Linked DNA regions of Struthio camelus. The protein of the gene in region 2 interacts with the protein of the main gene of each other region in a pairwise test. Links are inferred from orthologs where the notes say so. Each region holds a gene or a part of one and is shown on either strand. Other genes may lie near its edges. The genes, in order: BMAL1, EPAS1 and BMAL2.

Region 1 (3,746 bases), on a different chromosome or scaffold from region 2:
TACTGTTCTTTTCTTTCAAGAAAACAAAAAAAAAAAAAAAAAAAAGAAAAACACAGACCTCGAGCTTACTAGATACCATCCTCTGAAACTGTGATGGGGACAGACAATGGAAATAGGCTGTGTAAAAGAATACAGGATGAAACAATATATTAATCTATAACCACAACATTTTATTGGGTTATTTTACAGTCCATTTCCACAAGTAGGCATAAAATCATGAATGGTCATGAGAAGTATAAAACCACAAAGCTTAGAAGATGGAAAAGCTTTCCTCTTAATAGGCAAATACTGGTTTAGAATAGTCATATGAGAGCTCTACAGCTTCTGACGCTTCAAATAATGATTTACATTTGCATACCCTTGCAAATACCAAACATCCACATTCTTCGGGGAGCAATGTTTAACCTCAGCCTTCTGCTAGACTATTTACAAAGACAGTTAGCCAGTACTAATAGTCAATTGAAGCAAACAAAACAACTTTCTTTTTTCCCCCTACAGACCTGGCTGCAGTCTATGCATTATCAATTGCTCCCATTTACAAGACCTCTTCAATTAAAAAAACCAAACTATAGTAAACAGGCAGAATAGGCTACTTTAATGCTAACCTATCAAAAACAAATTAAGAAGTAGCTTCATTTTGAATGTTTAAGGACCAACGTTTGGAAGAAATTTTTATTTAAAGCCTGAATGAATTCTACAAAGAAACTGGAGTTCAAAATCATTTACAAAGATGACAGCTATCTGCAGTCGCCCTTTTCTACCCCAGATACTAAGCAAGTTACTTAAAAACTGCTAATAGTATATCTACTTCAAAAACAAGCAAACACACCCACTTGCTTCTTGTAAAAATACTACAACGTTATTTTCAGGTACTAAGAGGTTTATAAAGCTAGTATAATTGAGGCATTGGAATAACAGAAACTTCAGTCATGAAAAACACAATTTGTTCCACAAAAATAAAAAAACGAAATCCTGATCGCAAGAAGCCACTTTAACTGTTGTCAGTATTCTACTTTCACTTTCAAAGAAAAACGTTCCTTCTTAGCAAAAGATACACATACGGCTGTCAGACACAGAGGGCTGAGAAGTAACAGCACCAGACGGGACAGCCTGAGGACCCTAACTTAACCATAAAACATTCATCTCACAAGGAGAGGAGGTAACTGGGCTGTACTGTTAGTAAAAGCAAGAAATCCCACAGCGGCTCTCCATGTGGCTCTAGCTGTCTGCAGGTAGGACTGGCCTCCGTGTCAGAGACTCACAGTCTATCGAGATTTCCAACTACCACCGTCGTTGAGGTGTTAAATACATACACTCCTCGCGCCCCACATAAAGCTGGCTTCAACGCAGGGCACCTGATTCATTGACAAAGATCAAAGGGATCACCTGCGGGACAGAGGCCGAGGGGACCCATCCCTGCTGCAGGGGAGGGAGCACCAACCTCTCGCTACTCCGTGACTTACCTCAGCCACCACACACTCACCCTTAGACGAGGCAAACTCGAGATGGGAAGCAGCAGAGCTAGCGCTGCCACCCCCGAGCTCCAGGAGCCCCGTTCCTGCCCCTTCCTTACTCCCAAGGAGGCGCCGTCGCCAGGACCCCACGGCCCCGGCTCTGCCCTAGGGGCCGGGGCCGGCTGCAAACGGCGGAGGCGGCTGCCGCCCGTCCCGTCCCGCCCCGCCCCGCCCTCTCCGGCTCCCGCCGCACCGAGGCGGCCCGCGCCGCGGCCGCCGCATTCGCCCCCCTCGCTCCGAGGGGCGCCGCCGCCGCCCGGGCCCGGCCACCTCCCCGCGGAGAAGTCGCAGCCCCCGCCTCCCCCGGCGCAGGCGGGCAGCTCCCCCGTGGCCTGCCGCAGGCGGCAGCTCCAGCGGGGCAGCGGAGGGACCGGCCAACCCCGCCCTCCAGGGGGCGACCCCCGCCACCTCGCCAGCGCGAGCCGCGGACTGCCCCTCTCCCCCGCCCCCCCCCCCGCGCGCCCCCCAAACGGTCGCCCACCGGCCGCCTAACGGCTCACCGCGGGCTCACGCGCCCCCGCGGCCGAGGGGGCGGGGGGAGGAGAGGGTCGCTGTCCCTCGGCGGCGCGCGGCGCAGGCAGCCCCCGTCCCTGACCTACTTTCCGCCTGGCTTGCCACCCAACGTCGCACCACTAACCTACTTTCCAGCCAATGGCACCCTCCTTCGGCCCCGGACCGGACGCGCCGGTCCGCCAACGGGCGAGCGGCTCTCCGGCGGCTCTGCCCAATGGCCGGCCAGGCGGGCAGGCAACGCCCGCCCTCCTAAACAGCAGCTAATCCCCGGGCGCCCCCGAGAAGCCAGCCAATCAGAAAGGCGGCTGGGACCTTCAGTCCCGCCTCCTAGCCGCGGGGGAGGCGCGTGCGCGGTGGGGGGGGGGGCGGTTGCGCGGGGGACCCGGATGTGGCGCTCGCGGCGTGGCGGTTTTGGCGGTTGCTTCTCCTGTGGTGTTCCCTGGTGGTGCGCGCAGCGGCGGGCGGAGCGCTGTGCTGCGAGCTGCTCGTCCTTATTCCCTTCAGCAGCCTCACTGCCGCCGCCGTGACTCACCCGTGGCTCTACGTCATTGGTGTGACATCGTCCCGTGCCGTGGCGTCACTTCTGAAGCATCAAGGTCACCGCGGCCTGCCGTGACGTCACTCGGCCTTGCTGCACTTTGCGACCGCCTGTTCTAGGCCTGCCCTCCCCACCTTCTGGCCCAGCATCCGCTGCCGTGGCAAAGCGAGGGCCCATGCCGGCCTGTGTGGCGGCAGCTAAGGCCTGGCCACCTCCAGCATCCTTGTTGCCTCACGGAGCTGGGGGCTTCTCACAGCTGGCCAGAGGCAGTGCTGCCCAGCTCGGGGCAGACAGGCATGTGCCTCATTACTCTTCCAGCATGGACTCCCTGCCCTCGCTGTTTTTCAGCATGACCTGACCATGATTGTCCTGTCATGCTATGCTCCTTCTATCCTACTGCCTCCTCGGCTGCATCCGTAGACTGCAAGGTCGTTCTCAATGACGTCCACCTTCTTTAGCAAACCGCAGCATTGTATCTGCCTCACGTTGCTGTATTGTATGTATATGTTCTTGTATATGATATGACATCTATAAGTTGCTATTGCATCACGTGCACATCATATTTGATGAGACCTCCTTCTTCACTGCACCCTTCAGAATGTCACAGAAGCACATGTACGATGCTGCCCTCAGTTTTACTGCCATAAATGCTATGTCATCTCAGAATGTGACTCTCTAATGCACTGTAAGCTGCAATAATTTTTTTCGGTGTTTAAAAAGGCCAGTGGCAGAGCATGGTAAAGCCGTCCACTACACCATTTTATAGTGCGAACTTAGATATCTTCTAATAATTGAGTCGGAAAACCATCATCCATGCGACAACGCTGGCATGTTAAGGGGATGTGTTGCAAGAACGAAGTTACAACGTAGTTGCAATCAAATGCAAATGTTGTTCAAATGTTACTGTTTTATTACTACGTCAGATTGTCATTGCCACATTATCATTGTCTTAACATTGACATTTCCTGTCTTGGGATGACGTGTCACAAATGTTTGGTTTATATTTACTAATACCACATCACCAGAGAAGTGTGGGTAGCGGTATTATCTAATTACAATGCAGTTGTGGTTATTCTAATCCACTGTCACAGAATGTGAACTCAACCTATGACAGCATTAAGGTTTAGTTTCCACCTAATTGACCTGGAACTCAGCACAGCCAAAAAGTGGCCCCTGTTGGA
Region 2 (3,746 bases):
AGTACCTTAGACCAGGTTTTCATGGGACAAATCCGTAGGATAGCCTACTAAGAAGTGCTCCAACATTTGTTCCAAAGAAAACACTGGGTCTTTTCCTGTGACAGAGCAGCTCCAAATGAAAACCTGAGAACGCTCTTCAACTTAAATGGACTATTAAAAGGAATCAAAGATTATCTTCCGTAGAGCATCTGTTTAACAGTAAAAGAACTGCTCCTCTAAGCGTGTGTTCCAGGGTTGCCTGCAAATCTTGTAAACCAGATTACCCCCACCACCTTTCCTCCCTGAAATTGATTTATAAATGCTATTAGCAAGTCAGGTTAGAGTTCCCAGCTGTATATCTGGACAGAAATCAAGCAAATACAACTGCTGAACTCGAGGCAGTAAGTCTGTTCTGTAATAGTAGTGGCAAATAAAACATATCTTGCTCCAGTAGGCTACACAGTACTCCTGCAGTGATATACATATACACATAGACAGGGAGGCACAAGCATGCTATCTTAAGTCACTTCTCATCTGATAGTCTCCCAGCTCTCGCAAACATTAATTTACACAACAAACCCATCAGCCAGATAACAATTATTAGCCTACTTCTGAGAGAGGCAGAAAATTGTCACTAGAATGTCACCGTACTTACTAAAATCAGCGACAGAGCCAGAATTTGAATTCAGACCATCAATGTTTTTCTATATCATATTTTAAAAATATTTCTGAAAGGACTTTAAAGTTTCATGTATTGGAAGATTAGACAGTGCTCATTCTCTTATAGGGACTGAAAATAAGAGGTTAAGACTGAAGAAATTAAGAGTTTCCCATTAAAAGAGACGATACTTTGAATGAACTGAACGATGTATTTTCAATACATACGCTATTTCATTCTAATTCCTATAAACTAAACTATAAAACATTTTATAAGTACATCTTACCATACAATGTTTTACTCTCTTTTTCGACAAAAGAGGATGCATAAAGTACCACTATTTCATGCCTTAAGCAGAACAATAACACCTGGAACAAAATACACTGGAGGTAATTTTTAACCTAAATACATTAATGCTTGATAAACTGAGACTAGAGATGTATAAAATGTATCAGATATACTACAATAGCTCCCCTATTACTTGGTGATAGGGTGACTCAATAAAAAGGAGCTGTTTGACAAACCAAAACACAGTTTTCAAACTATAGTGCATCAGCAACCGAAAAGCGCATGTGACAAACAACAACATAAAATTCTTACTCCGTAAAACACCTCTCTTAGGAGCACAACCTAAAATCAGAACAGGGATGCAACCCGAGCTGATAGCAAGAACAGTCTTATAACTGTCATTTGCATAAAACAGAACAGGTTGCTATAAAACTTAGTGGACCTTTATTCACTTGCTTAGCCTTCACTCCTGTAAGCTCCCTCACCCCTCCTTACGAGTTGTTTACAGCCTTGGAGCCATGGCTTGATACTTCTTTTCTTTATCTCCACCTGTAACCACTATGCTAGGGATCATGAACGTTTCCTTCTGATGCTTAACGTCAAGAATATACTCTCTGATGCAACTACGAAACTCCATTTACTAATGTGCTTCTGCTCCCTTGGGAAAACTCATTACAGCAATATGGAAACGCTTAGCTGTACATCCTCCTCAAAAAGCAGTAATCGGCAAAACGTAATGCTTCATGTAAGGTGCCAAGCGCACTCCTCGACCGTGACGAACCACGCGAGATGTCGCTTTTTGGTCAGCTCTCCCACGTTAGGTGGCCCAAGTTAGGTGGCCCACTTCTTAGGCCGTAGCCAGGAGATGTTGAAATTTACTAGTCTCAGGCGCTTCACGAAAAGTTTACACAACACGTCGACTACACCTGGGCCGTTTTTATGATGAAACATGCTTTGCCGCGGATGCCTCTTTCCAAACCCCATCCTCACCCGAGAGGTTAAATAATTACCCAATAACCGGGGCCCTAATCGATAGCAAGCTACCAAGCCCCGCCGCCGGCACTGAGTTGACCCCACGGCAGACGCGGCCCCCGACGCGCGGCGGCCCGCGCAGCCGCCCGCGGGGACCCTGGGGCAGCGGCGGCCGGCGCCGGGGGGGGGGGGGGGGGGCAGTTTCTCAGGGCAGCGGCTCAGCCCGGTGCCGCCGGGCAAAGGGCAGCCCCGCGGGGAGGCTCTGCCCGGGCGCGGCGCCAGCTCCGCGCCGGCCTCCACCCCGCAGGGCAGCCCGGGGCTGCTGCCCCCCAGCGCCGCCTCAGCCCGGGCCGGTCCGGCCCGAAACCCCCGGCCAGCCGCGCACCGGCTCCCCGCCTGCACCGCCCCGGCCGGCGGGACGCGGCCCCACGCACACGCCCCCCCCCCAACACACACACACACACACGGGAACAGCCCGAGGGGGCGCCCGGCGCGGCCCCACGCGGGACGCCGCGACACCGTCTGGGGAAAGGAGGAGGAGGAGGAGGAGGAAGGGGTCCGAGGAGCGCGCAGCCTCGCCCGCCGCCCCCTCACCTTTTCTTCTCCTTGTCAGCTGTCATCGCGGCGGCTCCTGCGCCGCCTCTCGGGCCGGGCCGGGCCGGGCTCAACACCTGCCCCGGCGCTCAGCAGCGGGACGCGGCGGCTCCGCGGGGGCGGCCCTGGGCGGCGGGTGCGGTGCGGTGCGGGGCCGGGCCGGTAGCCCCGAGGCGGGCGTACAGTCTCAGGACACTGCCGAGGATTGTACAGCCCGCCGGGGCGCGGCGGACGGACGGACAGACGAGAGGACGGGGAGCGGCTCCGGCCGGGCTGTGCGGCGCCGCCAGAAGAAACTTCTCACTTTAAAACTTGGGCCGCCGCCGGCCGCGGGGGCAGGTCCGGCCCCCTCGCCCCGGCCCCGGCCCCCGCCCGCCAATGGGGGCCGCCGCCGCCGCCGCGCCCGGCCTCCCGCCCACGGCACCGGCCGCCCGGGCCGCCGGCAGGGGCAGCGCCGCCGCCGCTCCGCGCCGCTCCCACCCGCGGGCACCGACCCGCGTGGGGCCGGCGGGGATGCCCTGCCTTCCTCGCCGCTTTCACGCCGGGCTGTCAGTTTTGGTTTGGTTTGGTTTGGTTTCTCTTCCCCTCTTCCCCCCCCCCCCCACCCATTACGGTTTTATTTATCTCAAGGTTGCTTTTTCCCGCGGGCGTTTCCCAGCGCGTCCCGCCGCAGCGCTCCGGCCGGGGGGGGACCGGGACGGGACCGGGACCGGGACGCCGCCGCACCTGCCCGCACCCCCCGCCGGGCTGCGGCCCGGGCCGCCGCGGAGTCGCCCGCCCTTCCCCGCTCAGAAACGGGGCCCTGCCGCCGCCCCGGCCCCTAACGCGGGGGGGGGGGGTTGGTGTCGGGGAGAACGACTTATTTCCAAATAAATAAATACTGCAATGAAGGTAAGCGAGTGGCGCGCGTAGCGATGCCCCTGCTGCCTTGGGGGCTACGGATGTGAGCTGTACACGGTGCAGGCGGCCGCCTCCGCACGGGGCGGGGGGGTCGGCCTGAGAGGTATGTGCGAAGGAGCCGGGGCGCTGCAAGGTAAGGCAGTTTAGCGCCTCTGAGCCAGCGATAGTACTTCCCTCCTCTTCCTTGTTTTCCAATTTTATTTACTGTATCGTATGACATTTCTGTTATTTTCTTTAGTTATAAATAACTAAACTTTAAATTTGTAAAATGCACAGTTGTTGCAAGAAAGTGAAGTATTCCTGGGGCAAGAAGCGCTACAGCTCCTCTCATGCTAGCCCCCGATACGGCTTGTTT
Region 3 (3,746 bases), on a different chromosome or scaffold from region 2:
TGAAGTCATCTCATGCTCAATACCATACTGAGAACAATCTATTTATAGGGTAACTTAAAAACAGAACACTGGATTTGTTTTTAATACCATGAAACAGTGAAAAGAAAAATTATTATTTCCTGAATTACAGAAAAGATTTTAAACTAAACATATTAATACAGGCTACTGAATATTTTATACATCTATTTTTACTTAGTTACTTTAACCATTCACTCACAAAAAAGGTAGTCAAGAATCATAACTTACCAACTAAATAATACATCTACTTAATAAATCTCAAACACTAAGTATTTGGCCAAACCTATTAGTGTATTAAAAACCTTGACTGTAACCAGCTAGTGAAGAGATACCACACAAGCCCTTGAAAGGTCACCCTGCTTCCCCAGACACTTCCAGGGTCAAATCAGGTCACTGATAGAAATCTAGAGTCTCATGTATCTTAGTTCATTACTAAAAAAAAAAAAAATCTCTCCGATCATATATTGCTAAAGAAATTGAGGCTAGCAGCTCTCTTGTAAGTTTTAGAACCAAATTTTTTTTTTTTTTTGAGTAAAATGATAACTTTGTCAAGTTTGCAGTAGAACTTCCGTGGTTTAACGGGCCCAGTTGTCAAAGAAGGGAATTTTCAGAGTATTGATATTGATTCACTTCCCACAATCACCCACAAAGTGATTTTCTTCTTACAGTGAATTAGACTCTTTAGCTGATGTGAACTGCCCAGTCCGGAGTTTGCTTTTCCTAATATGCAATAGTAAGAAAAAGATGTTGTTAAAATGAAAAACTGCTAAGCTGACCTATTCCAATCTTTAGGTCCTTTATACAAGTTAAAAAATTTACACCTTTTAAAATGTTAATTGATTAACAGAAAGAGACTCTGTTTCTTCAAAATATGTTAGAAGAATTAGTAGAAGCATAAATAACAAAAGAAATCAGAGCAGGCGGAATTCTTTCACAATATAACATAAAAACCTACTGTTCATTGCTTTCCCATGGATACTTTCACATGGAAAAGTCCACATATTTTGATTTTTCTTCATTTAGATTATTTCCTTTTCTTACAATATGTGTATGATACAGAAACAAATTCTTAACACAATTTCATAGACAGCAAAAAGAAAAAACCCCTACAAAAAAACCTTTACTTTCAAAAACTAGATTACTTATTACAAAATTATACCAGTATTTAAACAACCAAGCAACAACTAATCTTCATAATTCAGAAACACAGAGATGGAAAAAATACCAACTACTGAGACAACCAGAACCCCCACATATATATAAAAAAAAAAAAACCACATACATACGAATCCCCCAAATACACATTAAAAAGACAACAACAAACCCAGAAGAACTGGTGCTAACTAAACAGAACAGCAATGATGACTTATGAACGATTTGCTCACTTCTGTAGCTCAAAACTCCGTGCAAAACATCTTTTTTTTTCCTCCTCAGATCAACATTTTGAAAGGAGGAAGCAACATACTCATTCCTGCAGCAGGAGGAGCACAAACAGCTGCTGCTGGCTTAACACTAGCCCCGTTTTAGCACCAGAAACTTATGAAGGAGGAGGAATGTCAAACCTCTGCCTCTATACAAGTGCACACACACACACTCACACAGAGAAGCCAAATTCACTACACTCAAAAGTCTGAATTACATCCGCCTGCAGGAAAAAAAAATACTAACACATTAGGGACACATAAAACAATTAGTTGTATATCAGAAAGTGTGTATTACATACTAAGTTAAATACACAGAAAGAAAAATATTTTTAGTGCAGATCACTGAGGTATGATGACACATCTGTAACAGTAATAACAAACCTAAGCAGAGTGTAAACGTTTCTTTGGGAGCCCACAACCTAACACCACTGTGTACCTTAACTAGACTTAAACTAACTGTACCCTAACTGAACTAAACGGGAGAAATCGTTACTCGAGTCCAGGTCAACACGCTGGGGGCCAGAGTATGAACAGCCCCAATTCAGAATACACAGCCCCATGCTGGAAGCATAACCGCTGCGCTGAGGGAAAACAGCGGCCTAAGGGGGCTCCTACCCACGCGGGAAGGTTACACCCCCACCACCACCAACAACGGCCACGCACGGACTGCAGACACGCGCCCTTACCTCCCCGCCCCCCCCCGGCACCAAGGGGCACACAAGCCCCCTCCTCCCCTACCACACCCCACACACCCCCACCCCGCACCACTCACGCACCCACGGACACCCCGACACCCGCGCGCGAGTCCCGCCCGTTACAACACCTCCCCCCCCTTCTTTCGCCCCCCACAGCCGTTACCCCGCCGCCGGGGGCACCCCGCCCCCCGCCTCCAACGGCTGCTCCCCCCGCCGCGGCGCGCGCGCCCCCGTCGCTCCCCCCCCCCCCACCTTCCGTCGCCCGCCGCTCCTCCTCGGCCCCCTCGGCGTTTCCCGCTCCTGCCTCGGCCATGGCGGGCTGCCCGTGCCCCGCTCCACAGCGCCCCCGCCACCATGCAGGAGGTAAACTAAGGTGAGCAGAAACCGCCCGTCCTGCCCCCCTGCTCGGCGCGGGGTTGGGGTTGGGGGGGAAAGGGGGAGGGGAGGAGAAGGTCCGCAAGCGCCTCCACAGGCTCCCTCCCCTCCTCCCGTCACCGGCGCCGCCTCAGCAGCGCCCCCGCCGGCGCCATACCCTCCCCCCGCCCCGCCCCGCCCCGCCCCAGCCCTGCCCTGCCCGGCAGGACACTTCTCGCGAGACTTCCGGCCGGGCGGAGGCGGGAGGGGGAGGTGCTGCCGCCCGGCGCGCGCAGGGTGCGGGGGGAGGGGACCAACGGCCGCTGGGGCCTCCCCCCCGCCACAGGAGGGGCCGGGAAGGAACAACGGGTGAAGGCGGTTGGCCGCCTGCGGCCTTCTGGGCGTGCGGCTGCCCCTCAGAGCGGGGCACAGAACAGGCAGGCGCACGAGTACGCGCTGACACACAAAAATAGAGTTAGCTTTGACTAACAGGTGAAACTGGGTGAATGGACCTGGGTTCCAGTAGATGCTCGGGGTGTAGTTGTGTGTTCAGCTTATCGGGAGCGCGCTTTTGAAGCGAATCTGCCCGTCGTCCTCGCCGTGGTTTGGTTCACATCCTGGAGTGGTCTGGGAGCACGCGAACCATATTCTTTTTGCGTGAAACCTAAAGAAGCGCTGTTAAGAGCTCACTTAACGTGGCCCAACTGCTAACGGGCTCTCGCTCCCTGGGACCTCACTGGAGCTAGTCTGAAATACAGCCTCTAGGACACCTGCAGCGCGGACGTTGGGACCTCAGCAACACGGGGATTCACTTGACAGAACCGCTCTTACTGAGGAGCCCAACGTGTTGATGTTGATGTAGCCTCTACCCGCCCAGTTCCAGGTCTGTGTGCGGCAGAACAGACTGTTGCCAAGGCCTCAGACTTCCTCGCCTGAGCCATCTGAATGGGCTGAGCACGTGCCTGCTGCTACCTGTTGAACTCCCATGTGAGGGAATTTGCATGTACAGTGCAGCTGGTGTTGCTCATCAGCAGTAAGGCCGGAACCAGATGATCGGGGACCTATGTGAAGGAAGCTGCTTCTCCAGGTGTACTGTACAGTGGACTTGCAGAGCTCGCGCCTATTATTAGTCGTAGGGGTTCTTTTCGACTTAACAAGATGTGCTAATAAAGATGGAACAGCAGGCTCACTGACTTCATGCCTAAATAAAGGGTGCACGTAGATTACCCTGCAGATGCATGTGTTAACCTAGGAC

Evidence for each region.
Region 1: the proteins of EPAS1 (region 2) and BMAL1 interact in binary tests that used the Homo sapiens proteins (3 or more experiments, as listed by UniProt). The link is inferred for Struthio camelus from reciprocal best matches to the Homo sapiens genes EPAS1 and BMAL1.
Region 3: the proteins of EPAS1 (region 2) and BMAL2 interact in binary tests that used the Homo sapiens proteins (3 or more experiments, as listed by UniProt). The link is inferred for Struthio camelus from reciprocal best matches to the Homo sapiens genes EPAS1 and BMAL2.

What each region holds. Positions count from the first base shown.
Region 1 is NC_090946.1:25,523,868-25,527,613, reverse strand, and holds the start of BMAL1 (basic helix-loop-helix ARNT-like protein 1), read right to left. Parts: upstream 2,252-3,746; 5' UTR 2,152-2,251; exon of another isoform or gene 2,015-2,151; intron 1,632-2,014; exon of another isoform or gene 1,484-1,631; intron 1-1,483. UniProt on the Homo sapiens protein: Transcriptional activator which forms a core component of the circadian clock.
Region 2 is NC_090944.1:108,882,579-108,886,324, forward strand, and holds the start of EPAS1 (endothelial PAS domain-containing protein 1), read right to left. Parts: upstream 2,818-3,746; 5' UTR 2,518-2,817; coding exon 2,492-2,517; intron 1-2,491.
Region 3 is NC_090942.1:77,266,833-77,270,578, reverse strand, and holds the start of BMAL2 (basic helix-loop-helix ARNT-like protein 2), read right to left. Parts: upstream 2,651-3,746; 5' UTR 2,451-2,650; coding exon 2,390-2,450; intron 1-2,389. UniProt on the Homo sapiens protein: Transcriptional activator which forms a core component of the circadian clock.